7 linked regions of the Oryctolagus cuniculus genome follow. The protein of the gene in region 1 interacts with the protein of each later gene in a biochemical or structural test. Links are inferred from orthologs where the notes say so. Each region holds a gene or a part of one and is shown in the gene's direction. Other genes may lie near its edges.

What was found.
Region 2: of the proteins of YAP1 (region 1) and JOSD2, one has a biochemical effect on the other in vitro, tested with the Homo sapiens proteins (2 studies listed by BioGRID). The link is inferred for Oryctolagus cuniculus from reciprocal best matches to the Homo sapiens genes YAP1 and JOSD2.
Region 3: the proteins of YAP1 (region 1) and NHERF2 form a complex in vitro, tested with the Homo sapiens proteins (2 studies listed by IntAct, with this or other methods). The link is inferred for Oryctolagus cuniculus from reciprocal best matches to the Homo sapiens genes YAP1 and NHERF2.
Region 4: the proteins of YAP1 (region 1) and TTYH3 interact in a test that uses a peptide from one of them, tested with the Homo sapiens proteins (2 studies listed by BioGRID and IntAct, with this or other methods). The link is inferred for Oryctolagus cuniculus from reciprocal best matches to the Homo sapiens genes YAP1 and TTYH3.
Region 5: the proteins of YAP1 (region 1) and PTPN14 form a complex in vitro, tested with the Homo sapiens proteins (3 studies listed by BioGRID and IntAct, with this or other methods). The link is inferred for Oryctolagus cuniculus from reciprocal best matches to the Homo sapiens genes YAP1 and PTPN14.
Region 6: the proteins of YAP1 (region 1) and ERBB4 form a complex in vitro, tested with the Homo sapiens proteins (2 studies listed by BioGRID and IntAct, with this or other methods). The link is inferred for Oryctolagus cuniculus from reciprocal best matches to the Homo sapiens genes YAP1 and ERBB4.
Region 7: the proteins of YAP1 (region 1) and TRERF1 interact in a test that uses a peptide from one of them, tested with the Homo sapiens proteins (2 studies listed by BioGRID and IntAct, with this or other methods). The link is inferred for Oryctolagus cuniculus from reciprocal best matches to the Homo sapiens genes YAP1 and TRERF1.

The regions. Positions count from the first base shown.
Region 1 is NC_091432.1:93,686,143-93,689,615, forward strand, and holds part of YAP1 (transcriptional coactivator YAP1), read left to right. Parts: coding exon 1-60; intron 61-1,864; coding exon 1,865-2,103; 3' UTR 2,104-3,473. UniProt on the Homo sapiens protein: Transcriptional regulator with dual roles as a coactivator and corepressor. Critical downstream regulatory target in the Hippo signaling pathway, crucial for organ size control and tumor suppression by restricting proliferation and promoting apoptosis.
Region 2 is NC_091449.1:7,409,999-7,414,747, forward strand, and holds JOSD2 (josephin-2), read left to right. Parts: upstream 1-1,616; 5' UTR 1,617-1,986; intron 1,987-2,199; 5' UTR 2,200-2,416; coding exon 2,417-2,562; intron 2,563-3,474; coding exon 3,475-3,600; intron 3,601-3,876; coding exon 3,877-4,071; intron 4,072-4,158; coding exon 4,159-4,258; 3' UTR 4,259-4,434; downstream 4,435-4,749. Other genes in the region: ASPDH (aspartate dehydrogenase domain-containing protein), read left to right, coding at 154-238, 336-485, 566-789, 863-1,017, 1,318-1,361; translation initiation factor IF-2, read left to right, coding at 4,641-4,749. UniProt on the Homo sapiens protein: Cleaves 'Lys-63'-linked poly-ubiquitin chains, and with lesser efficiency 'Lys-48'-linked poly-ubiquitin chains (in vitro). May act as a deubiquitinating enzyme.
Region 3 is NC_091450.1:33,196,301-33,200,852, reverse strand, and holds the start of NHERF2 (Na(+)/H(+) exchange regulatory cofactor NHE-RF2), read left to right. Parts: upstream 1-1,349; 5' UTR 1,350-1,399; coding exon 1,400-1,612; intron 1,613-3,299; coding exon 3,300-3,500; intron 3,501-4,552.
Region 4 is NC_091450.1:37,340,265-37,344,881, reverse strand, and holds the start of TTYH3 (protein tweety homolog 3), read left to right. Parts: upstream 1-1,665; 5' UTR 1,666-1,881; coding exon 1,882-2,004; intron 2,005-4,617. UniProt on the Homo sapiens protein: Calcium-independent, swelling-dependent volume-regulated anion channel (VRAC-swell) which plays a pivotal role in the process of regulatory volume decrease (RVD) in the brain through the efflux of anions like chloride and organic osmolytes like glutamate.
Region 5 is NC_091444.1:28,668,398-28,672,423, reverse strand, and holds part of PTPN14 (tyrosine-protein phosphatase non-receptor type 14), read left to right. Parts: coding exon 1-1,202; intron 1,203-4,026. UniProt on the Homo sapiens protein: Protein tyrosine phosphatase which may play a role in the regulation of lymphangiogenesis, cell-cell adhesion, cell-matrix adhesion, cell migration, cell growth and also regulates TGF-beta gene expression, thereby modulating epithelial-mesenchymal transition.
Region 6 is NC_091434.1:28,236,184-28,240,209, forward strand, and holds part of ERBB4 (receptor tyrosine-protein kinase erbB-4), read left to right. Parts: intron 1-2,679; coding exon 2,680-3,125; 3' UTR 3,126-4,026. UniProt on the Homo sapiens protein: Tyrosine-protein kinase that plays an essential role as cell surface receptor for neuregulins and EGF family members and regulates development of the heart, the central nervous system and the mammary gland, gene transcription, cell proliferation, differentiation, migration and apoptosis.
Region 7 is NC_091436.1:127,715,291-127,719,153, forward strand, and holds the end of TRERF1 (transcriptional-regulating factor 1), read left to right. Parts: intron 1-2,514; coding exon 2,515-2,839; 3' UTR 2,840-2,984; downstream 2,985-3,863.

The DNA.
Region 1 (3,473 bases):
GCTACAGTGTCCCTCGAACCCCGGATGACTTCTTGAACAGTGTTGATGAAATGGATACAGGTTGGTATTCCTTATTTTAGTTACCTGACCTCTACTCAGAGATAATCATAGTATCACCAGGTCCAGTAAACCATGATGAGCAAAAGTTCTTTAGAAGAAAGCCAGTTACAATCCTATAAACTTCATTCAGTTTGAGCCAGCTTTGTTTATGTATGCTGATTTGTAATTTAAATCTTTTCCTGGTTTTTCAGTATCATGGATTGAGTATCTTAACCCTATCTGAATAAAAATAACATAACTTATTTTAACATGCTAATAGATTGGTAATTGAGGACCCTATTAGAAGTGTCTCCCTGTTTTAGATTTGTGTTTTTAATTTTGGAGAGAGTATTCTGTACTTGATTTAACGTCTGCCTGTCTCTTTTCTCTGAGGGGTTTTGGCTCAACTTTGTTATGGGGCTCAGGAAAATGGATAGGAAAGGTTATATGGTAGGCCCATCTACTTTATTTTTAGAATAGTTGTAGTGGTGTTTCAGGAGCTAAGAAATACCTGCCTCACAGGGACATTTAAGGAACCATTTCTCCTTTGCTTTTCCTGGTGCCTACTGCCCTGGACTTTAGAGCTGTTTCATGAAGTGGCAAGAAATGGAACAGATCTGTAGCTGGCGGGCTCTGCATGTACCCAGCAGCTTCTCTTGTGTGCCTGTACTTACCCAGCACCATGGCTTTGGTGCTCCCTAGAGTTCACCCCACCTCCTTGTTTGTACTTACCTTGATCTTAAACTACCCTTAGGAGTCATTTCAGACCTATCTCATGCACCATGCCTCTCTTCACTCTTACCATTTTATTTTCTCTTTTTCTCAAAACCTTTATAAAAAGTGCTCAAAGGATTAGCTTTTCACAAAGCATATTCTGTTGAAGCTCTGAGGAATGTTAATGTTGTCATATGCAAAAAAAGTTCTGTGGCCAGGTGAGTTTAGAAACAGAGAAGCAAGACTCTTACTTAGAGACTTGTAGGAGGTTTGTTTTGCTGTTGTCAATGTGACTCTCCAAGAGTCTAATAGAATATTCATGCAGTCCTTGTATTGTATTTTAGTATTCCCCAAAGTGTACGTAAGAGAAAAAATAAGGTCTGTACCATTTATTTAATTATTTACTTATTTAAATATTTATTTATTTATTTGAAGGCAGAGTTACAGAGAGGCAGAGGCAGAGAGAGGTCTTCCATCCGCTGGTTCACTCCCCAAATGGCTGCACTGGCCGGAGCTGGGCCAATCTGAAGCCAGAAGCCAGAAGCCAGGAGCTTCTTCTGGGTTTCCCACTTAGGTGCAGAGGCCCAAGGACTTAGGCTGTCTTCCACTGCTTTCCCAGGCCATAAGCAGAGAGCTGGATTGGAAGTGGAGCAGCCAGGATGCAAACCAGTGCCCATATGGGATGCCGGCACTACAGGCAGCATCTTTACCCGCTATGCCACAGTGCTGGCTCCTCTACCATTTGTTTTTATATTACATCTCATTGTGATGGTTAGGGTAGTAATGCTACTGTATAGTATACTTGTTCTTTTTCACCCTGCTACATATAATTTTTGAAGGGATTTTTATTTTTTTCCTGATCCCCTTCAGTGCTCAGCACATAAGCCATCAAACTGTTGGTTAATATCAGAACAAATGTTGATGAAAAAGTAAACTTGGTATTGTTCTTTTGTTATCTGTGGGTGGTAGAGCCTAAAATAAATTCTGGGCCTCAGTTCAGATTGGTCAGGCGTGCTTTTCTTTCTCTCTGTATTTCTGGATGTTCATATGATACACTTCTGATGTTACCTTTTTTAAAAGGCCTTTATTAATCGCTCTCTCTCCCGACTAGGTGATACCATAAACCAAAGCTCCCTGCCCTCACAGCAGAACCGTTTCCCAGACTACCTTGAAGCCATTCCTGGGACAAATGTGGACCTTGGAACACTGGAAGGAGATGGAATGAACATAGAAGGAGAGGAGTTGATGCCAAGTCTGCAGGAAGCTTTGAGCTCTGACATCCTTAATGATATGGAGTCTGTTTTGGCTGCCACCAAGCTAGATAAAGAAAGCTTTCTTACATGGTTATAGAGCCCTCAGGTAGACTGAATTCTAAATCTGTGAAGGATCTAAGGAGATAAGACATAATACCTGATATTTCCAAATAAGCCGGTCACAGTTTTCTGGCCAATACAGAAACAGATGAACAAACGTCCAGCAAGATTCTTTCATCCACTCTTCTGCTCTTCCTTGTCCATTGCTGCTGTTAATATATTGCTGACCTCTCTCACAGTTGGCCTTAAAGAATCAAAAAACAAAAAAGCAAAAAACAAAACTGTTTTATTTCTTTTGCTATTATAACTACTGTTCATTTGGGGGCTGGGGGAAGTGAGCCTGTTTGGATGATGGATGCCATTCCTTTTGCCCAGTTAGACGTTCACCAGTCATTTTAACTAAGTACTCAGACTTGGAAGTCAAATGCTTCATGTCACAGCATTTAATTTGTTCAAGCAATTGTTTCTTCAGCTGCCTTTGGCCAGTGGGAAAACAAGACTTACTGGTCTGACAAGCCAAAAATGTTGTATCTAATATTGAATGATTAATGCTGATTTGAAGAGATAGCTGAAACTAAGGCTGAAGACTGTTTTACTTTCAGTGTTTTTTTTTTCCTCCTAGTGCTATCATTAGTCACATAGTGACCTTGATTTTATTTTAGGAGCTTATAAGGCATGAGACAATTTCCATAGAAATATATTAATTATTGCCACATACTCTAGTATAGGTTTTGGTGGATATTTTATGGTTTTTTGTTTGTTTGTTTTTGTTTTTGTTGGAACCTAGGCAAATTACCATATTAGTGAGTCTGTTTATAGGTATAGCTTGGAGCGATTATTGTAGTTCTTTTGGTAAAATCTACATTTCCTAGTTTTTTACCATATTATTTAAATCTTGATTATTCGCTCTATACACACACACACACTTAAAATGTTTATAATAGTGTGATAGCAGAATGTATCTTTGTTTTTAGGTTTCTCTACTTTCCAGTTTATTTTTAAAATGGTAGCTTTGAATGTATGCATTTAGAGTACATGGCTAGTAGTTTATATTCACAGATAGTTTAAACTTGATTGGGGTAACCTACAGATGTTTGAGGTAGTTTAGTATTCTAGAAAGGGCTATTAACATGGATAGTGCCTAGAGGAGTACTGTATGCCCTCTGAACACATAATAAGTAGTATCTGATGAATTAGAAAGGAGCAAACAAGAAAAGGCTTTCTTTTCCCCCTTAGACTTCCCTGGACTAATTTTGAGTCTTGATGGGAAATCACTGAGTAGGTTTATCATGTACACGACAGAAGTAAGCTTTATAATGGTTTGCTGTCTTTAGCTTTGGAAGTTTATTTCTCCCTATTCTTGAAAGTCAATTCTAGTACTTTGGTTTCATTTACAATGAACACATT
Region 2 (4,749 bases), on another chromosome or scaffold:
GTCAGTGGCCTCACCACCGGTGCGCGGGGCTCCCGGAGCTCCTGCTCCGGCCCCCTGGGCTGCCGTGTGATCCCATCCCTCTCTGATGGGGGTCCAGGGGGTAGGGAAGCCTGGCACCTCTCCCAGGACCTGCCCCTCTCTGTCCCCCCCCAGGCACCCTGATCTTGTGGTGGAAGTGGCCCATCCCAAAATAATCCACGACTATGGGGTGCAAATCCTGTGCCATGCCAATCTCCTGGTGAGCCCCACCTCGGCCCGGAACCTGGCAGCCCTTCCTGTCTCGGTCCCATCGTGCGTCCCTGACCCCACCCCTCCCTGCCTCCACCCACGGCCAGGTGGGGTCACCCTCGGCGCTGGCTGACCCGACCACCGAGCGGCAGCTCCGGGAGGCCTCGCAGCGCTGGAACCACGCTGTGTTTGTGGCTCGAGGGGCCCTGTGGGGCGCTGAGGACATCATGAGGTTGGACGCGGCCGGAGGCCTCCAGGTGAGGGACCCGCTGGGCTCCCCGGGGCCGGAGGGGGCCTGCAGGACCCCAGCCCCTCTGACCTCGGCCCCCGCTCCCAGAGCCTCCGCGTCACTATGGCCACGCACCCGGATGGCTTCCGGCTCGAGGGACCCCTGGCTGCCGCAGCCCACAGCACTGGGCCTCGCACGGTCCTCTACGAAGGCCCCGTCCGTGGACTCTGCCCCTTTGCCCCGCGTAACTCCAACACCATGGCGGCCGCTGCGCTGGCTGCCCCCAGCCTGGGTTTCGACGGCGTGATCGGGGTGCTGGTGGCCGATCTCAGGTGAGCGGAGCTGAGCGGGGAGGGGTCGCGCGGGCTGCAGGCCCCCACACTGACCCCCCCCCGCCTCCTGCAGCCTCGCGGACATGCACGTCGTGGACGTGGAGCTGCGCGGACCCCCGGGGCCCACGGGCCGGCGCTTTGCCGTGCACACCCACAGAGAGAACCCTGCAGAGCCGGGCGCCGTCACGGGCTCGGCCACCGTCGCGGCTTTCTGGCGCAGCCTCCTGGGTGCGGCCGGCCCCTGGAGCGGGGTCCCGAGATCCGGGGGCCGGGGGTCTGGGGGCGGGGTCCGGGGGGCGGGACCGGGGTCTGGGGGCGGGGCCCGGGGATCCAGGGGGCGGGGTCCGGGGGTCCGGGGGCAGGGGCCCGGGGCCAGGGTCTGGGGGGCGGAGGGCCGGGGGACCGGAGGCCGGGGGGCCTGGGTCCGCCTGGCCCGACGTCCATTACTTCCGAGCCCCCCAGCCTTCTCGCTCCGCGACTGCCCCGTGCCCCCGCGGGGGTCCGGCTCAGCTCCTGTCTCCCCCGCAGGCTGCCGCCAGCTGCCCCCCGGGCCCGGAATCCACCTCTGCTGAGAAGCCTCCGCCCACCCGGCCGGCCCCTCGGTGGGCGGACCCTCCCCGCCCCCGCCCTCCCCGGCCGGCCCCTCGGCGGGCGGACCCTCCCCGCCTCCGCCCCACCCCCGGCCAGGCCCCGGCCCCCCTTTCCCGGGATGTCCCTCCAGTCTCAGTAAAGACCCGAGGCTCCTCCCCCACCATCCCGGCCTTCTTTCCCTTCCGTGACGTCACGCCGCGTCCGCACTCCGCGTGTGACGCCACTGCAATGGGCGGGCACAGGCCCGGAAGCTATCGCGAGAACCTACCCGCTGCGTTTCCCAGGAGCTTCCGAGCGGCCGTGGGCGCGGTCGCAGCCAGGGGGCGGGCGCGGGGCGCATTTCCGGGATTTGCACCCCCTCCTCCCCCGACCCACGGAAGTTATAGTCGCGCGCCCTGGAGGGGCGACGGCGGACTTCCGGGTTAAGCGGCCCTGCCCGCTGGGGCCGCCGGGAGTTGTAGTCCACTTTGCTGGTGTCGCTGGGAGCTGTAGTCCGTCCCGCCTGCCCCGTCAGCGCGGAACTGCTCGTGCCGCGCTCGGAGCCCAGCGCCGCCGTCCGAGGGGATGCGGGAGCCCCCGGCTCCGGGGAGCAGAGAGGCCGACGGGGTGAGGGGCGTCGCCAGGCGCAGGGGACCTGGGCACCGCGCTGCTTTTCCTGTTGTCCGGGGAGGGGGCTGGTTGCCAGGGGAAGGCGGGCTCTGGTGTTGCTAGGCGACCGGTAGAGACCCCTCCCCCGTCACCCAGAGGCAGGGGAGGAGACTTCCGGTTTCGCTGGGTAATCAGAGACTTTGTTGTCGGGGGGGGGTCCTCCGTTGCTAGGTAACCAGCGGGGGTCCCGTTGCCCAGGGCCGCGGAGGGCTGCGTCTCCGTCGCCAGCCCCGGATGCCAGGGAGCCTTGTCCCTGGAGAGCCAGGGCGCGGGGGTCCCGTGTCGTCCCCGGCTGCCCAGGCCCTGCCCTCCATGGAGGAAGCCGCCCCCAGGCCCTGGGCCCCTGAGCGGCCTCTGCGCCCCCTCCGCAGGAGGAGCCCAGGACGGCATGTCCCAGGCCCCGGGAGCTCGGCCGCGCCCGCCCTCCGTGTACCACGAGCGGCAGCGCCTGGAGCTGTGCGCCGTGCACGCCCTCAACAACGTCCTGCAGCAGCGGCTCTTCAGCCAGGAGGCTGCCGACGACATCTGTAAGAGGTGACCGCCACCGCCCGGCCCGCCGCCTCCTACCTGGGCCTCCGCCGGTGCAGCCTCCACACAACCCCGGAGCCAGCCTGCTGCCCGTCCCCCTGGCGCCCCGGGCCCTGGGCCTCCCGCACTGTGCTGCCCCCGGGCCTTTGCACGGGCAGTTAGTTCTCTCTGCCGGGCGTGGCTGCCCTCACCGGCCCAGACTTCAGACTTCACGCCTGCATCGCGTCTGCACTGCCTGCTGTCCCTCCCAGCCACCGGCTCAGGCCTGGCCCTGGTCCACCGGCCTCCCCCTGACCCCACCCGTGCACCCCAGAAGTGGCCCTGCCTGTCTCTCCCCACTGCCCGCCTTGCGCCGCTGACCCACAGCCCCCGAGGGATCTGTGCGGGAGGTGGGGGCGGGAGGTGGGCTGTCCCCTCCCACCTGCCCCCCAGGGCCTGCTGGGGACAAAGCTGGATGAGGCTGGGCCCAGAGACATGGGGTGGGGGTGCAGGGTGGCCCTGGGCCTGGAGCATAGGCTGGGAGGTGGAGCCAGCAGGGAGCAGACCACGCAGGGCTGTGGGCGCTGGGCGAGCAGGAGGGACGGGGTCGATGGGGGGGCGGGGCGGGGGCAGGGTCCTCCCAGAGACAAGTGGGGCCAGTGGCGGCCATCCAGGCGGTCCCAGGCACTGAAGGGCCGGGCCTGGGGGTCAGCGGGCATCTCCAGGGAGGCGACGCCTTGGGTGGGCTTGCAGGACAGAGGAGGGGGATGGTGATGGCGAGAGGGGCCGAGGGGCTCTGTGCAGGGCAGGGTCGGGGTTCAGAGGTGCAGGTCTTGGGGGGCATTGAAGACAAGGATGAGTCGAGGACGAGGGGCCCTTCCTGCGGTGTGGGAAGAGAGGGGGTCCCCGCCTCCACCCCGACTCTCGCCCGCCCCCCAGGCTGGCCCCAGACTCCCGGCTGAACCCACACCGCAGCTTCCTGGGCACCGGCAGCTATGACGTCAACGTCATCATGGCCGCCCTGCAGGGCCTGGGCCTGGCCGCCGTGTGGTGGGACAGGAGGAGGTAGGGCCCCGGGCGCCGCGTGGCCACGGGGTGAGCTAGAGGGCCCACTCACGGGCAGTCTGGGCAGGAGCAGGTGGGCTGGCGGCAGTGGGGAGGACACGGGTGGGTGGGTGGGTGAGGGAGGAGCGGGGGGGGCAGGGGGGGTGGAGGGAGGTGCGGATGGGCGGCGGCTGTGCTGGAGACTGGACAGGCCTGGATCTGGTGGGCGGGCGAGGGAGGGGGTGGGGGCGGGCGGCAGGGCCGGCGACCGAGTCCCCTCGTCCCCTCCGCCCGCAGGCCGCTGTCCCAGCTGGCCCTGCCTCAGGTGCTGGGGCTGATCCTGAACCTGCCCTCCCCCGTCTCGCTGGGGCTGCTGTCCCTGCCGCTGCGCCGGCGGCACTGGGTGGCCCTGCGCCAGGTGGACGGCGTCTACTACAACCTGGACTCCAAGCTGCGGGCGCCCGAGGCCCTGGGGGACGAGGACGGCGTCAGGTGAGCGGGGGCAGGGCCCCCACCGCCCACCCCACCCCCACCCCCACGCGGCTGCCTGGGCTCAGCCTCCCCCTTTCTCCCACCCAGGGCCTTCCTGGCCGCGGCGCTGGCCCAGGGCCTGTGCGAGGTGCTGCTGGTGGTGACCAAGGAGGTGGAGGAGAAGGGCTGCTGGCTGCGGACGGACTGACCGCCGCCGCCGCCTGTCCGCCTGCTGCCTGCCCGCCGGGGTCCCTGCCAGGCCTCGCGGGCGCCAAGTGCCGGGGAAGGGCCTGGGGCCTCGTGGGCCGGGAGGAGGCCCCGCCCCTTCCCCACTCCCCCGCCCCCCAAGCCGCTGCTGCCTCAATAAATCTGTGATTTGCTGCTGGTCTGGCCACGCCCCTCTGCTCGCTGGGGGTGCAGCAGGAAGCCCCCAGGCTGCACGCGGGGCACACGTTCAGTGGGGAGCGCTCAGAGGGCCCCCCCCCGCGCTCTCGGGCAGGTGGCTAGGAGCCCCAGTCCTGGCCCTGTGAGGATGTCCCCAGAGGCAGCCGAGGGCAGGCTGGGGGCGGGGGCCGGGGGTCTCCTGGGCGATGTGGGTGCAGGCACAAGGCGGCGGGGGCCAGAACTACAGGGGAATGACCCTGAGCAGCTGTGGCCTCATGGGGACCAGAGCCGCCCCCCAGCTGCAGGGGGCAGGGG
Region 3 (4,552 bases), on another chromosome or scaffold:
GGGCTCTAACACACACCCAGGCTCATTTCTAACTTCCCACCTAACACTTCCTCACCCCTCAAACAATGTGGCCACAAAGCTACAGCCTGGCAGGTACTGGGCGCTGCGGGGTGGGGGCACACAGTGGGCGCAGGGTCCAGGGTGCCAGCTGCAGCTGGACAGGCGGGTGGTCAGCCCAAGGCACCGACCCTCAAGACCTGCAGAGGTGAGGGTGGGGGCACCCACGATGCCACGAGCTCCTGGAGGTGGGCACCCAGGGGGCCACGGTGTGGGTGGGGGCTGGAGAGCCCAGGCCAAGAGAACTGGAGACGGGAGAGCAAGGGGTGAGGACTGGGGCCCACCTGGGAACTGTCTGGACTGCTGCGCCCCACCCCTGGGGCAGGCATGGGCAGGGGTCCCTGCTGGGCTGGGGCGGGGCAGGCCAGGCCGCCTCAGGCCTCAGCCGTGAAGGCTGCAGGCTTGGGCCGCACAGCCCTGGGCCTGGGGGAGGGGTGCTTCCCTCTGTGCCAGTAAAACTGCACCTGGAGAGGCCTGGCCAGGCAAAGTGCTGCTGGCGGTTGTCAGCCGCAGGGCAGGGGAGGCGTGGCAGAGGCAGGGGGCAGGTGCCAGAGACCTCGGCTCAGGTGTGCCGGTGCTGACCACAGAGTACAGAGGCCAAAGTCTCGGGGCAGGAGGCCAGCCCCCGACCGACCCTGCAGCCTGGGACTCCAGGGTCTGCCGGGGCCTGGGGTAGGCCTCAGCCAAGTGCGAGAATGGAGGGCCGACCTCTAGGGAGCCCACGGGCACACAAAGCCCACCCTGTCACTACGGCCTCCAGGGGCCTCCAGGCAGGTCGTGGGGCTCTGTGCAGGGCAGCCCTGGCTGCGGGAGGGTCCCGGGGGTGAGGGCAGTGGCTGGGGAGCAGGTGAACCGTGCGGGTGGGCAAAGGACCGCCCAGGGAGGGCAGGCAGGGCCTCACTCCGGGGCCTCCCTGGGGGTTCTGCCTGGGGCCACTGTCTCCCACCTGGCCCCCAGCTCAGGAGCCGGCTCTAGGCCCTGCACAGGAAGCCAGAAGCGCTGGCACCAACGTGCTGCCAGACACAGGGGTTCCCCGGCCCTGAAGCCTCCCCTCCAGAGCCCCTCGGGCAGCTGGGGCCGGGAGGCAGGGCCAGGCCAGCGCGTCGTGGACCCGGGGCGGGGGCGGCCGGGCGGCGGGGGCGGGGAAGGGGCGGGCGCGGGGGCGGTGCCCCAGCCCGAGCCGGAGCCCGAGCCGGAGCCCGAGCCCGAGCCCGAGGCGACTGGAGCCGAGCGAGCGCAACGCCGAGGCGGCCGCCCGTCCCCCGCGCCGCCCCCGCGCCCCGGCCTGCGGGCCCCGTAGCGCCGTGGCCAGCCCGCGGCCGGCCGGTGGTCAGCGGGCGCCATGGCCGCGCCGGAGCCGTTGCGGCCGCGCCTGTGCCGCCTGGTGCGTGGCGAGCAGGGCTACGGCTTCCACCTGCATGGCGAGAAGGGCCGCCGTGGGCAGTTCATCCGGCGCGTGGAGCCCGGCTCCCCCGCCGAGGCGGCCGCGCTGCGCGCGGGGGACCGCCTGGTCGAGGTGAACGGCGTCAACGTGGAAGGCGAGACGCACCACCAGGTGGGTGCCGCGCTGCGCCCCGGCCGGCTGGGCGCTGCCTGCGGGTGGCGGGCCCCGCACCTCCCCCGCGACGCTCAGCCCCGCACCGCAGCGCGGGGGAAGGCGTTCTGGCAGGGAGGGGCCGCACTGCGGCTCCAAGCCGGCCCTCGGCCCCCTCCCCCCGCCTGGCTCCAGCCTGTGTGTCGGTGAACCCGGGTGCTTCCTGAGCCTGTGGGACTGTGTGACCGCGCAAGGCCTCCGGGGTCCTGCCCGTGTGGGTGCCAGCAGCCAGGCCCCTGCGCGTCTGGGCGGTGTAGACCGGCCAGTGTGTCTGCAGCCGGGGTGCCTGGATCCGGTGCGAGTTGGCAGTCCCTGGTGGCACATTCCATAGCTGCTGCGACCCTCACCCTCCTCGGGGCGCTGTGGCCACTGCCCCCTGCTCCTGCAGCTGGAGAGGGTAGGGCCTCTTCCCTTGCAGGCTGTAACCCCTGGGATGTCCGTCTCCCGCTGGCCAGGGACTCACCTCAGATCCTGGCCAGAGTCCAGCCTCCCTCCGGACCGGCTGCTCCGGCTGCTCCGTGTCCCTCACAGCACCGCTGAGCCTGTGGCCTGTCTACGTGGCCAGTACTGGGCCTAGGGGTTAGCAGACAGCTGAGCCACTGGCCGGGCTTCCCGGGGTCCCCTAGCCTCTGTCTTCCAGCGAGACTGGAAGCTGGGTAGAGCGGTGCTGTGTGCTGAAGTGCAGTGGGGGTCAGGGCCACAGGTGGGGGAGGCAGGGCTGGCAGAGCTGGCACCCCGCCTCTGTGTGACAGCCATGGCCATCCTCGCTCCAGCTGCACCTGCTGTTCCGGGCCCCTGGGCACTTGTCTGAGAACTTCACACCCAGCCCCAGCCCCAGGAGGTGCGGCCGGGACTCTGCTTTACAAATATGGAAACTGAGGCTTGGAGCTTCAGTTTGGGTCACAAGTCGGGGAGCAGGGCCGGGCGAGGACGGGCCTGGCTCGCTCCCCCTGTTGCTTGACAGCATCTGGGGAGCTGGGCAGCAGGTGGGAGCCTTCTGCTCCGCTCTTCCACAGGCCGAGGGCCATAGTGGGCACTGCCCTCTCCCTGCTGGCACACGCTGGCACCCTGTGTGCTCCCAGACACACAGCGCCTGGAACGCCGCACCTGTGCCACGGGCAGACCTGCCCCTCTCCCCGCTGTCCTCCTTACCCGACCGTGTGCGGGGGCCTGAGCGGGAACCCAGCTCTCAGCTGTCCGCAGGCCCAGCAGGAGTGGGTCTGTGGTCTGCAGGCAGACGGTCTGTGTCTAGGGCAGGTTGAGATTCCCGTGAGAAAGTTGAAAGCAAGCGAACATGCACAGCCAAACTAACACCCGACAGCACCTCCCGCCTCCAACCTGGGCTGGAAGGCAGACTTGGAAACAGATGGTGCGCACACACGAGCGTGTGCACACGCACGGGCAGACCGAGCCCCTGAAGCTCATTCAGTGCCGTCTTGGTCACCTCCACCCTGGGCTGAGAGCAGCTCAGGGCTGGCTGTGTCAGGGAGCCGGGGGCGGGGGGCGGAGCCGGCGGGGCCAGCCGCCCACCCCTGGCAGCCTGGCTGCCTGTCTGCCTGCCAGCCCAGGCCATCCCGGAGTGGTGCCACCGTCCACGTGCTGCCCGGGCTGCCGGCCGCTGACCTGCCCCCGTCCCTGCCTGCCCCAGGTGGTGCAGAGGATCAAGGCTGTCGAAGGGGAGACCCGGCTGCTGGTAGTGGACAAGGAGACGGACGAGGAGCTGCGCCGGCGGCAGCTCACCTGCACCGAGGACATGGCCCAGCGAGGGCTCCCGCCCGCCCACGACCCCTGGGAGCCAAAGCCGGACTGGGCACGTGCAGGCAGCCTGAGCTCTGACGCTGGCCAGAAGGTACGGCAGCCTCTGCCCGTGCGGCCACCCTGGCCTCTTGACAAGTCTTCACCCCGCCCCGGCTGCCTTCTGGGTCCCTCTTCTCTCAGTCCGAGTTCCTAACTGGGGGTAGACAGGACAGCTCGGCCCCCTTCCCGGCTCGCTCTCTGTCCCTGCCCTTAGCCTGGCCCAGGGCGACGAGGCCCTTCCTGCCCGGTGGGCGGAGTCACCGGACCCTGGGAAGGAGCGAGCCTGGCCCCTCAGCAGCGTCTGCGTCTCTGTCTGTCTGTCTGGTCTGAGTGTAGGGTGAAGCCCTCGGAGAGAGCTGGCCCCAGAAGCTGCTGTGCGCAGCCTGGTTCAGGAAGCTTCTAGGGCGAGCCCACCCTTCCCCCAGTCTTCAGCAAAGACCCCCCAGCCGCAGGAGGGGTGGGGACCTGGAAGTAACCCTGCGGGGCAAGCATGTGAGCCCTGGGGAAGAGCCGTCTCCTACCTCTTTGGTTGACCACATCCCTTGGGGGGTTCCGCCTAGGGGTTCCCCAGATTCCGCTTTGAGAACCCCCGGCCTGGGGGCAGTGGAGGTATTGGGCCTAACGTGTGGGGTGGGCGGGGGCCTTCACGTGGACCTTTTTCCTTTCCCACCCTCTCCCACCACAGCTGGCTGCGCTGTGAGCTGGGCCCCGGGGGGCCCGTCCTGGGCGGGCTGGCGCTCCCGGTGGGACTCCTTGTCCTGGGCAAGGCCTGGCCTGGGAGCCCACGGGACACTCTTGGCCTTCCGAGAGGTCAGGGCCGCAGGTGCTGAGCCCTGGAGCCTGGACTTTTGCCCCAGGGCCACGAGGGCCAGAGTCTCTGCAGGGAGCCCTGGCCCGGCTGCCTTGCGGGAGGGCCCCCGGGCTGAGGCCTGGAGCCGCAGTCTTTCTCAGGCACCCCTCCCTGTCCCAGGAGGAAGCCCCCCCACCCCGCTGCATTTGTCCATTGATTTAGACACAAACGGCCCGGTTCACCTTCCTGTGGAAAAATCCGCCCAGGGTGGGGTGGCCCTGGTGCCCCGGGTCGCGCCTTCCCCTCCGCTCCTT
Region 4 (4,617 bases), on another chromosome or scaffold:
GCCCTTCCAATGAGGCTGCAGGCCCAGTGCCGGGCGCTGGCACCAGGTCAGGTTTCCCGTGGTGTTTGGGCATCGTTAGAGGAAAGTGCCCAGCTCTGCGAGGCTTCGGGACACAGGGGGAGGAAGCCCCAGGCCCCACGCCCCCCACACAGACCCTGGGAGAGGAGGCACCACCGTGGGGGCAACGTGGCCTCTGTCTGTGGCCGTGACGACCCTGCCCATCCTCGGAGCCTCACCCTGTGGGATCCTGAGGCCGGAATCAGCCCGGGACGGGGGCAGCAGTGGGCTGTCCCCTTGCTGTGCCCTGGAGGGCTCGGCTGGTCCTGCGAGGCTAAGGGTGGCCACGCCCAGCAGTCACCTGGGGCAGGTGAGAGGAGTGACTTCTCCAGGTACCACCTACCCCTGGACATGGCCTTGGGGCTCCCTGCAGCTTGATGCGTTGGGGAGGAAATGCTTGAGGCGGACCCCCCCCCCAAGTTCTGGCTTTGCAGATGGGGAATCGGACGTCCCTGCTGGGCGAGCTCTAAGCTGTCCAGAGGAAGGAAACCACACTTCTCCAAAGACCTGCCGCAGGCCTTGTCCCAGGAAACGAGGAGGCCAGGGTAGTCACAGGATCTGAGGACAGACCCACGGCCTGCGAGCCAGGGCCCGTCCGCCCGCCACAGCGCCCGCTGAGCAGCCCAGGGCAGGGCGGGGAGAGCTGCTACTCAGAGCGCAGGAGGTCCAGAAGGAAGGCCCCAGGGCGGTGACCAGGCAGGCCGAGAGGCTGCACACCCAGCCAGGGCGGTGACCAGGCAGAGCCAAGGGGCTGCACCCACGCGAGATGACAGGGACGCTCTCCCCACCTGGCTGAGCTCCTGTCCTAAGTCCATTGGCCGGCATTCCCTGGCTTCCACTGCCCGGGGACCCAGCAGGAAGCACCGCCCTGCGGCTCCAAAGTCCAGACCTGCCATTCCTGCCAGCTGCCTGGGCACCAGGGTGAGCACCTGGGCTCAGGCTTTGACAAAAGCCACGGCCTTGCCGTAGTTGCCTGAGACACACAGCCTTTTGGCGCCCGGGCGGCTCGCGGCGCCTACGCGCGAGGACCTCATGCACAGAGAGGTCAAGGAACCTGCCCCAGGCGGCAGGGTCCAGGCTGGACTCCAGACAGACCAGCACCTGCAGCCTGGCCCCCGCTGCAAACATGGGACCCACGTGCAGCAGTGGAACCGACGAGGGGACGCGTGATGAGCACAGCTGCGTGTGCAGCCAGGTTCCAGCTCCCAGACCCCAGAGAGGCCCGTTGGGCGATCGAGGACCCGTTCTCCCAGCCTTCCCCTCCAGGCGCCCCGTGGCTGGGCGAGGGAGTGGGCGGAGCCTAGTATGATGGGCCAATGGCGGGGCAGGGGCGGAACTTGTGGGCAGGACCTCCAGGGGGCGGGGCCATTAGGCAACGAAAGGGCGGGCGGACTCGGAGGAGGGACCAAAGAGAGAAAAAACCAATGGAAGTGCAGAGACAGCAGGGCGCTCCAGGGATAGGGGGCGTGCCCGAAGGGAGGTCGACGAATGACAGTTCAGAGGCGGGACCGGTGGGCGGGTGATCGGGGAGGGTGCGGGCCCAGGGGGGAGGACAGCCAATGGCGGGACGGGGGCGGGGCCTCCGGCTGGCGGGCGGGGGCGCGGAGGGGGCGGTGGCGGCGGCGAACAAAGAGGCGGCGGGCGCGGGCGGCCGAGCGGAGCCGAGCGCAGCCGAGCCGGGCCGAGCCGGGCCGGGCCGGGCCCAAGAGCGTGCGGACGATGCAGGCTGCCAGGCCAGGGTCCGCGGGTTCCTGAACCCCGCGCCCGGGCCCAGCGAGGGAGCCCCGTGCAGCGGCCGTGCAGCCGGAGGCGGCCGGGCCCGCCATGGCCGGGGTCAGCTACGCGGCGCCCTGGTGGGTGAGCCTCCTGCACCGGTTGCCCCACTTCGACCTGCGCTGGGAGCCCACCAGCAGCCAGTTCCGGCCCGAGGACAGCGACTACCAGCAGGTGACGCGACGGGGCCCCTGGGTCGCGGGGTCAGGGGCCCGGATCATGGCCCCCTCGACTCCCCCAACCCCCATCAGGCCCCCTCCTCGTGGGCCACAGCCCCTCTTCCTTCCGGGGGGCCCCCTATTCAAGGGCCTGAATACACCCCACCCCCACCAAGGGTCCCAGACCCCTTCCAGGCTGCAGCCGCCCCCACCCACCCAGCTCTGTAGGCCTCACTTTGTAGGGTTCCAGGAAGCCGGCCCCCTCCCCTCCACGGGCCCCCTGCCGCCTGCCTGCTGTTGGCCAGCTCCTCACCGGGGGCCGCCGGCCTGGTTCCTCTCCTAACCAGAGGCTAGCAGGCCTGAGGCAGGCAGAGGGGATTCCTCGCCCCCTCGCCCCGTCGCCCCAGCTGGGGAATCCCATGTCCAGGCTTGGGTGGGTGAGAGGCCTGGGCAGACGCCAGCCCCCTGTGGCTGGGCGCCGGGATGTACACACAGCATGCCGCGTGCCGCTGTGGGCACCCAAGGTGGGCCCGTCCGGGAGGCTGGAAGGGGCTGAGCCTGGGCAGAGCTGGGGGGTGGCAGGGAGCACTTTGCAGCCCTCTCCCCAGGAGCCCGGGCCTGGCCCCGTGCCAAGCCCCAGCGCCGAGCCACTGTCATTAGAGTGCAAGGCAGGGGACCAGGCTGTGGTCATTTCCTTCCTGCACGGGGATCCGGATTCCAGAAAGCCCCGAGCCGGGGGCGCGTGGTCACCCCGGCACCTCTGGGTTGCTGTCCGGCTGGGCCTGTTGGGGGCGGGGGATGGGGCCGGGGAATCTGCCACCTCACTCTCGCAGAGCAGGGCTGTGTGTGGCCTCGCCTCTCCGGAGCACGGGAAGCCGAGGGTGAGCCTGTGTGCTGGGGAGCACGGCGCTGCCCCCGGCCTCGGCGCTTCCCTGGGCGCCGGTCCCCCAGCTGACCACCTTTCTAAGCAGATTAGAAAGGGGAGCGGGATTGGCCCGGACAGGCCCAGAGACAGCGAGCGGGAGGAGGGCCGTCTCCGTGTGCCCCAGGAACGTGGCAGGGAGATGGCTCTGTCCCCTGCGGGCCCTGTGTGAGCCAACAAGAGGTGTGTGCTCCTCCAGGACGCTCTGTGACCCTAGGGCTCATCCGGGTCTCAGCTCCGCCCGGGCACTGGGGCTGCCCACCCCAGCTGGACTTGAGGCCGGCCCTCCGGGTTTGCTCAGCAGAGCCTCAGGCCCTGGGGAGCCCTGGTTCCTGCCCCCTGCTCCCCTGTGGGCGGCTCTGACTCACTCTCCTGCCCCCTCTCTGCGCCGAGCAGAATTAGCCACTGAATAATTCACAGCGTGGAAACCGGCCTGCCTCCATCCTGCCGCCTCCGCGCCGGTGCTGGCTGTGCCGGAGCCACACCCGCACGTGCGGCCAGCCCCCACCCTCCGTGCTCAGGTGCTTTGGGCAAGGGCTGGACCGCCCTGAGCCCTCGGCACCTGGACCGGGCCTTGGCACTGGCTGTGCCTCCTGCAGGGGGCGGAGCCAGGAGCTCCCTTCCAGGGTGGGCATGGGGCCTGGCACGAGGCGCGTTCTGCTGTCCAGGTGCGGTGTTGCTGGCCGGCACCCTGTTAGCTCCCCGTGCCCTGGACCCTTGGTCGGCCCTGCTGGAGAGGACAGCTCCTGCCTCTCAAGCTGCCCAGATGTGGGGAGGGCCCCAGGACAGGGCCGTGTGGGGCTGGCTGTCACTAGCCCCTTTGCATATAGCCCCGGGACGTCTCCCTTGTGCAGATTAGCAAACTGAGGCACAGAGAGACGGGACCTGGCTCACCATCCCTGCGAGCAAGCGGTGGGGCCAGAATCCTGCTCGGGCCTCTTTCCGCTGCCCCACGAGGAGCCGGTCAGCCGTGGGGCAGGGCTTCTGGGGCCCCCACAGCCACCCCACTGCGAGGCTGCAACCGGAGGAGCAGGAGCCGATGGGGCCCTTCTGAGGACACCCAGAGCCCTGGGCTTTGCAGGCCGAGGGTGGGTTCTGCACCCACGGTGTCTTCTTGGGCCACCATCTTCCTGGCCACTGCGCCCACCTCTGGGCCCGAGAGGTTGCTGAGTGGCGGGCCCCACGGTGCCTGTGGGTCGCCCCGTGCTGCTCCCTAGCCTCCGCTGGGGCCCCCGAGTGGCCGGGGGAGGATCAGAGGCGGCCGCGTGGCCCCACAGCTGAGCTGGCAGAGCCGGAGACCAGCGGCCGGGGCACCTGACCTGGCCCAGGGCCTGTGGTGCCGCGCAGGGAAGTCCTGATTTTCCGGTTGGGCAGGCCCATGCTGGCTGCCTTCCTGAGGGGTCCCCCGGTTGGAGTGTGGGGAGCGCCAGGCCTGGGCCCCAGCCCTGGCGCTTCTCACCCTGTGACCTTGGGCGGCCCGTGCGCTTCTGGGCCCGGCAGGGGTGGCGTCCACGCTGTCTGCTCTCAGTCTGCCCTGAGACTCGGAGGCGCTGTCCTGGTCCGGGCAGGCCAGGAGCTGCCCGGGGCAGGGGTGGGAGGGGGAGAGAAGAACGGTTACAGTCTGGGTGGGGTCAGAATGGGGGCGTCAGGAGCCCCGCAGCCAGGGAAGGCTCCCTGGAGGAGGAGGTGTTTCCTGTCTGCTTGGAG
Region 5 (4,026 bases), on another chromosome or scaffold:
CCACCCCCGATTATGAGACGGTCATGCGGCAGATGAAGAGGGGCATTGTGCACGCGGACAGCCAGAGCCAATCTCTGCGCAACCTCAACATCATCAACACCCACGCCTACAACCAGCAGGAGGACCTGGTGTACAGCCAGCCCGAGATGCGGGAGAGACACCCCTACACCATCCCATATGCGTTGCAGGGGGGTTATGGAAACAAACTCCTGGGTCCTAGTGACCCAGTGACCCCAAAAAGCAAGGCAGTGCCCAGCAAGCCGGGGGCCAGCGCCATCTCACACACGGTGAGCACCCCAGAGCTGGCCAACATGCAACTGCAAGGCAGCCACAACTACAGTGCGGCCCACATGCTCAAGAACTACCACTTCCGGCCGCCGCCCCCCTATCCTCGCCCCCGGCCCGCCACCAGCACCCCGGACCTGGCCAGCCATCGCCACAAGTATGTCAGTGGCAGCAGCCCAGACCTGGTGACCCGGAAGGTGCAGCTGTCGGTGAAGACCTTCCAGGAGGACAGCTCGCCAGTGGTGCATCAGTCCCTGCAGGAGGTGAGCGAGCCCCTCACGTCCACCAAGCACCATGGCGCAGTGAACAAACGCCACAGCCTGGAGGTGATGAACTGCATGGTGCGCGGCATGGAAGCCATGACGCTCAAATCGCTGCACATCCCCCTGGCCCGCCGCAACACCTTCCGCGAGCAGGGCCCGCCCGAGGAGCCCCCGCAGCTGCCCCAGTACCAGCACAAGAAGACACTCTCTGATGCCACCATGCTGATCCACAGCAGTGAGAGTGAGGAGGAGGAGGAGGCGCCCGAGCCCGTGGCGCAGATCCCCACACTCCGTGAGAAGATGGAGTACAGCGCGCAGCTGCAGGCTGCCTTGGCCCGCATCCCCAACAAGCCCCCGCCCGAGTACCCCGGGCCAAGGAAGAGCGTGAGCAACGGGGCGCTGAGGCCAGAGCCGGGCAGCCTCCCTCCGGCCGTCACCAGGGCCAGGCTGCTGAGACACGGGCCCGCCAAGGCCCTCAGCGTCTCCCGCGCCGACCAGCCCGCCACAGCCGGGGCCTCTCTGGGCCCGTCCATCTCCGAACCCGACCTGACCAGCGTGAAGGAGCGGGCCCGGAAGGAGCCTGTGAAGGAGAGACCTGTGTCCGAGATGTTTTCCCTGGAGGACAGCATTATAGAAAGAGAGATGATGATCAGGGTAAGCGTCTTCCTCTCTCTGGCACTTCCACCGTGGGGCTGCGGAGAGTTCGCAGTAGATGCATGTTTTGGGAAAGCGATGCAAGTGTTTCAAACATGTGGCTTCTGCACCAAAAGACGCTCAGCTTTTTGTCCCATCTTTGAAGTGCCTTGGTGCATATTTTAAGCCCTTGAAGAGCGTGCAAGGCTTGTTGAGTGGACGTGTAGTTTGTAAAGGGGTGGTGGGCATTAAACAGGTAGTATTTTATTTCACCGGACGTTGATTTCTGCCCTTTCAAGTAGACCTTCCCCTTTCATTCATGGCTTGCAGCACGTAATCTTGGTGCGAGGGGTTCTTACAGAGTTTTGGGGTTGTTGAGGTCCCCGCCTAGCCCAGCATTTTGCTCTTTGGGGCTCACACCCTAATTGAACTGCTGGCCGCCCCCCCCATCTCTTGGCATTTTGCTTTTTTAGGGGAAATGTACTTTTTCCTCCAATCAGCTTTTGAAAGAGCAGCTTCCCTACAGTATACGGCTCTCTGTATAGATCTTTATGTTGAGATAGCTCATCAGTGATGTCCAATGATATGGCTGGACTTACTTTCAGAGTTTCTTCCAAGAGATATTCAATTCAAGAACATTGTAGATATTGGATGTATAACTTGAAAGTTTACTATTGTATTTCAGTTCTCTGTCAGGTGTACTCTGTCCAGAGTTCACCCATGTACATGAGTGCACATGTACATTCACAGTTATTACCTTTGAAGATACATATTAGATGTTAACAGTCTTTCTTCTAAAAATGCGTGATCCAGGGGGTTGGTGTGTTTTCAGGCAACACACACAGAACAAAAAGTGGATCTGCATCTACTAACGAGAAACTTGTTGGATTGCAGTTGCTGCTTTTAAAAATCTCCATTGCTGCGTGTCCCCAAAATTTTCACTCTTAAAAAGTCATTTAATTATGCAGCTCAGACTGACTTTTGTTCATTGCAACTGCACGAAGAGGTCGCAGAGCCTGATTCAGGAGCACTCCAGAACAGTTGCAACTTGGCTTTGATGGAGTTCATTACACTCCCGATGTTTGTAGTCTTCCTCACTGCTCGCTGGGAATCCGTCTGAAAAGTAGGATCAGAGGCCAAGGTTTTCAGGAGGCCACGTTGCTGAGGTCAGAAATGGAATCCATAGCAACTCTGCGGCTTTAGAAAAACCTTAAGAACATTCTCAGTCTCGTAGTTTTGGCCATCATTGAGCAGTGCTGGTACAAGCAGAACTTTTTCCACTTTCTGCGGACCTAGAGGGAAATTGTGAACAATTACCTGCGTCTCTGGCACAGATAGCTTTTGGCTGGGAGGGAGTGAAGTGCGGGGGTGGGTGCCACTGTGGGAGAGCTTTCCTAGCCTGGAAAAAAGTAATTCATTTGTAGAAAGGGATTTTTCAACACTTCTTGGCCCCAGGCCTCTTAAAAGCAACATTAGCCTCAGGAACCTATTGGTCTGGCCAGCTTGATACTTAATGATGTCCACATGGTCCCATAACCTCATTTGGTCATGTTCATCTTCTTAAATAGCCTGTGGCCAAAATCATGGCATTTGTCCTTGCAGTATCAAAGGAGCAAGGGTTTTGCCACTGTTTTTTTTTTTCCCCTCCTCCCATATTCTGTTCCATTCCATCCATATGGATAATAGTGACTAACACACTCTACCATTAACTTTTAGTTCAGAAACATGGTTCTTCCCCACTGCTCTTACTTAATTTTCTCCAAGTCTGGAACTCAAGGACTGCTGTCCTCTGCTGGTGTCCAGACCTCAGAGGAGGAGACCAGGCAAGGCGGTGACCATGCCAGCGACTCTGATTCTCCATCCTTATTTTGGGATGCAGCAACTCAGCCCTGACCAAAGGAACAACTACACATCTCAGAGACTTCTCTGCCTTCCCCACCATGGGCAGCCTTTGTAGGCCTGATAGGGGTGGTTGAGAGGAGATGGCTACCGTGACCATCCTAAGGCCCTCTCTGTAAGGGAACAATGAGAAACCCTACACAAATGGAGACCAGCAAATGGAGCGGGTGGGGAACAGGTATGGTGAGTGGTTGGTGGTTTGGAGCTGCTTCCCTGCTGAGTGGATGCACCCAACCTGCTGCCTCTATGGCTTCTCCTTTGGCTCCCACTGCTGCCTGAACAGGCGTCAGAATCCAGACGAGTTCAGAGTTACCATTTTCTCTGTGGTCAAAGGCTAATAGGATGTGTAAAAGAGACATTGTTTGATTTATCACTGGGCTTTCAGTTTTCACCAGATAGATAGCAATTCTTTCCCAAGAGAAATACCAGTTACTGACTTTTTGTTTTGGGCCCCCTTGGGGTCACCTTCTAGTGCAAGTGGGGAGAAAGTAGAAAGACCTTTGAGAGGCCCTTGGGACCCTTTTTCAGGAACAGTTGATCTCTCAAAACTTCGGAGAGGATTGATAACATTCCCAGCTAAATAAAAAGGGGTGATGAGAAAAAATCCTCTTGCAAAAAAAAAACAGACTAATAAGCTCACGAGGACTCACACATTTAAATCTAGACTCCTCCCCAAGCTGGTGCCTGAGATTGAGAAGCGGAGGCCATACTGAAGGGTGGGTGTTGCACCTTCTGGCTGAACGCCACCCAGGTACTCTTCCCTTCCCTGTGGTTCACTTCCTTCGGAGGTGAGCAGGTGGCATTGTGGTGACGCTGACACACATTCGAGATTATAGTGCAGTCCCCTGCACTCACCGAGCAATCTGCCCACCCTCTGGGCTCTGCTAGCACCTTGGCTCCATCAGGACACCTGGGGAATGCACTCACAGATGATAGAATCTAGAGA
Region 6 (4,026 bases), on another chromosome or scaffold:
GCCCCAGTTTTTTTGTTTTTTTTTTTTTTTTGTTTTTTTAAGATTTATTTATTTATTTGAAAGGCTGAGTTACAGAGAGAAAGAGGGGAAGAAGAGACAGAGAGAGCAAGTTTCCATCCATTGGTTCACTCCCCAAATTGCTGCAACAGCCAGAGCTGAACTGATCCGAACCCAGGAGCCAGGAGCCAGGACTTTCTTCTGGGTCTCCCATGTGGATGCAGGGGCCCAAGCACTTGGACCATCTTCCACTGCTTTCCCAGGCACATTAGCAGGGAGCTGGATCTGAAGTGGTGCAACTGGAAACCATATGGGCTGCTGGCACAGCAGGCTGTGGCTTTACCCACTATGCCACAGCACTGGCCCTTGTCTGAAGCTTTTGATAACACCAATAAAAGATTTGGTTGATCCATTTAAATAGTGCCACTTGAATAATATAGTTTATTATGGGAAATTATGATTTCTTGTAAGACACATTTCAAAAATTAAAGATGTGACATTTATATACCTATATGTATACCTCCAAGTCTTGAAAATAACAGGTTGTGGTTTTTCAAGACACAACAATGACTTTGTAAAGTTAGAGTAGAATTGTTAAACATCCACATCAAATGATTCAAAAAATTTTTGGAGTGCCACAAGGTGCTTTCTTCCATGTTAATGGCATCATGAAATGGATAGGACAGATGAACAGATGATTGTTATTAGAAAACAATGACCATGGGGCCGGCGCTGTGGCATCATGGGTAAAGCTGTCACCTGCAGTGCCGGCAACCCATATGGGCACAGGTTCAAGACCTGGCTGCTTCACTTTCTATTCAGCTTTTTGCCATAGCCTGGAAAAGTAGTAGAGATGGTCCAAGTCCTTGGGCTCCTGAACCTGCATGGGAGATACAGAAGAATCTCCCGGCTCCTGGCTTCGGGTTGGCACAGCTCCAGCTATTGCAGCCATCTGGGGAGTGAACCAGTGTATGGAAGACCTCTTTCTCTCTGCCTCTCCTTCTCTCTCTGTGTAACTCTGACTTTAAAATAAAATAACTAAATGTTTTAAAAAAAGAAAGCAATGATCATGTCTGTCAGAGTCTTCAGTGGCAGCTTCAACATCTATTTTATGGCTCAGTATGGGTCCTTTTCTATGTGGTTATGTTCACTTATCAAATATAATTTAGAGATTCCCTAAATACATATTATAAATTCAAATAATCTGTCAAGATATAGAAAAGTTTTAATTTAATGATGAACTGTATCTTGGTGACACATATGTAGGTTTTCTGAAGATTTGGCAGATTGTCTTGAAAGCAGACTCCTCTCTGGAAAGATTGTCATTCAACCATAATGTTTTTTCTCCATATATAACCAGATGGTTACATAAGTTTACATGAGGACAATAGATGAGTAGATTGTATTCACAAAAGAAAATACAAGTTTACTATTTATAAAGCTATAAAAGTAAAGGTTGCACCTCATTTTTCACAAGATAGTCATTTGGGATCAATAGTGTTTTAGAAATTATTGAGCTTTCTTTAATTCATTTGTATATATTTATATGAATCTAGGATATTCATTATTGCCTTTCGACTTTCACAAATGATGCTTAATGATTAACTTTATCAAAATGCTTATATTCAGAGCTTGATTGAATTTTTGTCTTCTACATGTTGTTGGGCTAAGTATAGGGTTTAGAAAGTTTATTTCAGAATGATGGCATCTGAACAAAGACTTGTGCCATATCCATGTTCTGACTCAAAAATAGGAATAACTTAGTGTTTTGTGTATGCAGTAAAAGCAAGGACCAAAAAAGGATCTGCTCCATCTGTGTGTATATGTTTATATGTCATCTATATTATATACATAGAGATGCAATTAAGCTTGAGGAGAGCAGCATTAATTATCATCATTTTTGTATTTTAGGCTAATACTTATTATACCAGATGGATTTAGTAGACTGAGCCATACAAAAATAGGCACTAAATGACTGGTTCAAGATACAAAACAGCTATTTAATATGATTCAAACTTAGTTTGCTATTTTTCCATTATGATTAAATATTGAAAATTATTTTTGTAATTATACTTTCTTATTAAGCAGTTTCATATATAAAATCCAGAGAGCCAACTAGAAAATATTAGATGTTTTCATTCATTTTTTTCTTTAGATACTCTTCTTCCTACATATAAAAGTTCAGTGGGATCCTTGTTACTTGTACAGACATTCACAGGAAACCATATAATCTGAAACAACTATTTCTTTACTTTATTTCTTCAGTGTGGTGTAGAGTTAAGCTATTAATCCTTTGTTTTACCATATGCTTTATAAGAATTCTGACTTCTCTACATTTTTCTAGCCTGATAGGTAATCTTATTTTCTAATATAAATTACTGACTTCTAGAAAAAAGAAGCATTAAAATAACTGGTCCCATATGTAGGAAAGACAATTAAGAAGAAAAGAAAAACAGTCTGGGAGATAGGAATTCTGATCCTCACCTTGTTGTTGCCTTGCTTTGTTATTAACTTTGTTATTTCTGGTCCACGTAAACATTTTTAGTAATCCACAAATAGCTGTGAGAAACAAGTGTGCCACTTTCTTGTTCTCAACAAACAAGTTGACCTTTGTTTATAACCTTCATCTGACAAACGCTTTCCAGAGAATATATGTTAACTGTTATTTTTGTGTCCCTTCAGAATACCTGAATCCTGTGGAAGAGAATCCTTTTGTTTCTCGAAGAAAAAATGGAGAACTTCAAGCTTTGGATAATCCTGAGTATCACAAGGCTTCTAGTGGTCCACCCAAGGCAGAGGATGAGTACGTGAATGAGCCATTGTACCTCAACACATTTGCCAATGCCTTGGGGAATGCGGAGTACCTGAAGAACAACGTACTGTCTGTGCCAGAGAAGGCCAAGAAAGCATTTGACAACCCTGACTACTGGAACCACAGCCTGCCGCCTCGGAGCACCCTTCAGCACCCAGACTACCTGCAGGAGTACAGCACAAAATATTTTTATAAACAGAATGGACGGATCCGGCCCATTGTGGCAGAGAATCCTGAATACCTCTCTGAGTTCTCACTGAAGCCAGGCACTGTGCTGCCTCCTCCACCCTACAGACACCGGAATACTGTGGTATAAGCTCAGCTGTGTAGTTTTGAAGTGGAGAGACAAGCCCACTCCAGTTTCCACACCCCCTCTCTTGCTCTGGTGTCCTTCCTCCTATCCCTAAGGCCAGTAGTTCTGACACTTCCCCGTGGAAGACATAGAGATGCAATGATAGTTATGCGCTTATGTAACGTGAACATTAGAAGGAAGGGCTGAAAGAGGAAGATAGGTGGAACTTCACTGTTTCTTCATTTCTCTGCATGGGTTGGTAGCAGAATGGAACAGCTAGAAAAGGACCCGAACATGTGAGGCAGTACTGCCTGCTGCCAAACTAATTCTCAGCTCTTTTTTTCTTTCTTTTAATGTAGAGGGTTGAAACACCTGTACTATCTGTTCCTATCTGTAGGAACTGATGTATGCATAATCAACACCTCTGAAATCATAATAAAGTTTCCATCAGAACAAAAGGATAGCCCTTTCTAATATAACATACACTAGTAACCGAGATAGAGAATCCTATTTCTTTTGCCAACAGTCTCTATCTTAGGAAGTAAGAATGGCCAACCAGTTTTTAAGTCTCTATCAAAGTTTGAAGCAGTAATTATGTTTTAAAGCCTATTCTTTTAATTTTGTTTTTGCTTTGACGTGGTCCTAATATTAGTTTCTTTCCTATATTTGCCTTTAAGTTCTAACTGCAAGGATATTTACATCAAAGCTTTTTGACAGAATTTAGGTAAGAGATACTTAATGTGGTGAAATAGATACTATTTTAAATAGACAGTCTTCAAAATTAGGAGAGGAAACCAAGACATTAATCAAATGAAACAATAAATCAAGATTTCATGTTTGACACTATTGAATATATCCTCCTCTCATACTTTACATTCTTCGACATTTTCTTCTCCATAAAGTGACAGTACTTGGTAGGCAGTTG
Region 7 (3,863 bases), on another chromosome or scaffold:
ACGCAGAGGGAAGTGTTACCCGGGAGCTGTCGGCCAGGTGGCTGCTGAGGCCCTGCCAGGAAAGCCCCTATGGGTCCCGGGGCCCTCGCTTGCACAGCCTCAGGGGGCCTATGAGGTATCACCGCTGTTTACCAGGGGCTCGCTGTTTGCCTGGCAGTGTTTTAAGGGGTGTCTTACGTGTCTTAATGAATCTGTAGAATAGCCCTCCGAGGCAAGTACCTCCTGTTTATAAGCAGAAATGGAGCCGCCAGAAGGTTGAACTACTTGTCGCAGAACCCAGCCAGCGGCCAAGCAGGGATGCAAAGCAGGCCGGCGGTGTGGGCGTACGTCCCCCGCCTCCCACCCCGCTGCCTCTGCGTGAACCCAGCCCCACTCCGCTGCACCCCTCGCAGTGAATCGGAACTCACGGCTCTTCCCCTCTGCAAACACAAGGATAGGCAAGATGAATGTAGATGTGGGTCTCCTGTGCTTGAGGGCCCGGATGTGACGTCACCTTCATGTCACCACCCATTGAGGGGACCATGAAAGAATGAACCTCCCGTATTTACTGGAAAAAGTGACCAACCCACCTGGAGCTGACTCTCAGTCCTCTCCCTCCTATGTGTCCTGAGAAGTGTGGGGGCATTGGGGTCTTGCCCAGTTTCCTCTGCAAGGAAGCAGCGCCTTCCCTCGTTTGACTCAAACAGGCTCCAACGCCTTATTCCACCAGGTGGAGACAAAGGACCGTTCAACAAACAACAGTTAGTACAAGTGGAGCCTCCCTAACCTGAAAATCCAAAGTGCTCCAACACCCAAAATACTTAGATACCGTGTGACAAGTGGGGCACTCCATACTGTGAAACTTTTTGTTTCATGCACAAAATTATTACAACTGTGTGTAAAATTGCCTTCCATCTCTGTGTAGAAGGTATATGAAAAAGTGCTTTTTGTGTACATGCAAATTATCTAAAAGCTAAAAAAAAAAAAAAAAAAGATCAAAATCAAAAATGCTTCTTGGGCCCCAACATGTCAGGCAGGGGTATTCTACCTCCACGTCCCATTTCTGGCTGTTTCTCATGGGCACCTGGTACGTGTGTGTGTTTGTGTGTGTGTGTGTTCATGTTGCTTGAGATCTTTTTCTGCCAGAGTTAAGATTTCATAGAAAACAGAAACATGTTCTGTGGTTTTCCAGATTAGGAATAACATGAGGCACATGCTCGCAGCGTGTTTCAGCTGCTATAATTGTGTTCATTACATTAAACAGTTTTCAGTACGGCCAAGTGGGATCGTGATTCATCGGCCCTGTTTGACGCAGGCTGTAAAAATCAAGATTCCTTTTTTTTTTTTTTTTTCCTTTAGGAGCTCAGGAATTAACCTGGCGTGTTTATGTTCACCCCTCTTCATAAACAGGCTGTCTCACACCTGGGCAGATTTTTTCTGAAAAAGCTCCAGATAGTAAATATTTTAGGCTCTGGGGGCCAGACTGTCGCTGTTACAACCGCTCAGCTTGGCCATTTGGCAGTATATAAACAAGTGGATGTGGCTGTGTTCCAATAAAGCTTTATTGACAAACCCAGGCTGGATCTGACCCACTGACTGTACTGGCAGACCCCCGGCCTAAAGGGTTAGCCCCCATCATACCATGTCCTCTTACCCCAGCGTTTCTCAGCCTCAGCACAGTGGACATTTCGGGTCTGATAACTCCTCCTTTGGAGAAAGGGGGCTGTCCGCTACCTTGCTGGGTGTTTAGCAGCCTCCCTGCATACAGAAGTACTGCCCTCTCCCCCAGAAACATCTCTGGGCATTGGCCAGATGCACCCTGGGAGGGCGCACGCTCCAGCTGAGAAGCACTGTGTCCTGGGAAAGCCAGGAACCTTTGATAACGTAATGACCAGCAAGAAGGTTCAGAAGTAACCATCGGGGCGGGTCCAGCTCGGAAGCCCAGCACAGCCAGGACAGAAGAGGGGCCGCTGGGTTTGACCACACACAGGGGCTGGTGGCCTTGAGAGGAGCACCCAAGGGGACCAGAACCTGAGGGGGAAGGATAGAAGAGACAGAGGAGATGGTTTACCCTGTGCACGCATCCTCCAGGAGTGTGACTGTGGAACGACGAGGCCCCAGGCAGAAGACGGGTTGCTTTTAGGAATGGCAACTCCCAGAACGCATTAGCTCGACTTGAGGGTTCTGTGGTAGGGAGGGTATGGTCGGCGAGGGGGAGAGAGGAAGGAGAGCTGACCTGACGAGGAGACAGAGCAGGTGCTCCCAACCCCAAGTGCACAGGAGTGCCTCCACGAATTTCTCCTCCATTGTCCCTAAAAGGGAGCCGGGCGCACTGTGTGCAGCGCTCCTGTCCCTGTCCCGCCTCCTCGCGGAGGAGGGAGGCGAGGTGACAGGTCCCAGGGGGAGGGTGTACAGGAGCCTGTCACGTCCACCCCAGACCAGACAGCAGATCACGCACACCCCTTCCCTGCAGGTCACCCGGACTGCCCAGCACTCCCCTTCTGAATTTCACACGCCGCTTTCCTTCCTCTGCAGAGTCTTCTTCAAGATCAAAAGCCGAAACGCACACATGAAAACCCACAGGCAGCAGGAGGAGCAGCAGAGGCAGAAGGCCCAGAAGGCGGCCTTCTCGGCGGACATGGCAGCCACGATCGAGAGGACTACGGGGCCGGCGGGGGCGCCGGGGCTGCTGCCGCTGGACCAGCTGAGTCTGATCAAACCCCTCAAGAGCGTGGACGTGCTGGACGAGGACGTGGTGCAGCAGCTGGGCGGCGGCGTGGAGGAGGCCGACGTCGTGGACACGGATCTGCTCTTGGATGATCGGGACCCAGTGCTGCTCCAGGGGGACACGGAACTGTAGAGCCCGCCGTGCCACTCAGAGACGGTGCAAAGCCATGGCCCCTGTGTGCAGTCTTCAGGAAGCCCGGACTGACTGCTCGTGTTTGCAACCCTTTTAAACTACCTGTTTAAAAAGTGGTCGTTTTATTCAGGTTTCTGAGGGGGGGGGGGAAAACCAGTTTCTTTTCCTTTTGTTAAAAAAAAAAAAAAAAGTTGTGTGGGGGTCGGGGGTGGGGGAATAAATGCTTGGCGCAACTGTCTATAAGAGGTGTTTCATCTGGGCGTTCTCACACTGCGTCCTAGCAGGGAGCATGCCTGCTGCTCATGGCCCATTGCTGTCATGTCAGCCCTCCTGGGCGGCTCCCCCAGAGCGTGCTGCAAGTGCGCGCGTAGGAAGCAGCCCACCCCCCTCACGCTGGGGTCTCGGGAGGAGTTAACTTTTACTCTGTTCGGACCAGCCAGGAAGCATTCTTCCACCCAAAACCATAGAAGAGCCTGTTCTTTTTGGCCACACTGAGAATGGTCAGTGGGGTCCTGAAATTGTTTTGTGCCACTTGGAAGTACCAGGAAACCTCCACCGTGGAGATGTGGCTGTAATTCACATCTGGTGAGCTACAGTTTACTGTAGCTGCGAGAAATAGGATGGAGTGGGATTTTCCGACACGTGTGAGGGCAAATACAAAGGAAGCAGCATTGACTGAGGCTGACGGAATGGTTTCAGATACACCTTAAGGGCCGTGTTTGCATTCAGATGTTCAATGTGTTCTCACAAGTCACTTAGCAAAGCACTTCTAGACCTCCCGGCTACATTGCGCGGCTTTCTGTTTGTACTTGAAGGTACTAGACCTCTAATCCTTCACATATGTCATCGCCCAGGCTTTTGAGCTGAGTCACACTGACCCGTCCCACCGGGAGGGCAAAAGCCAGGCGGGGACACAGCCCCAGCACGGGGTGGATCCTGCTTCTAGCGTGGAGTGACTGTCCGAGCAGGTGCTGGCAGGCCTCAGCCCGCCTCAGGTAGGCCAGGTGCCCCCAGCGCCCTGTAA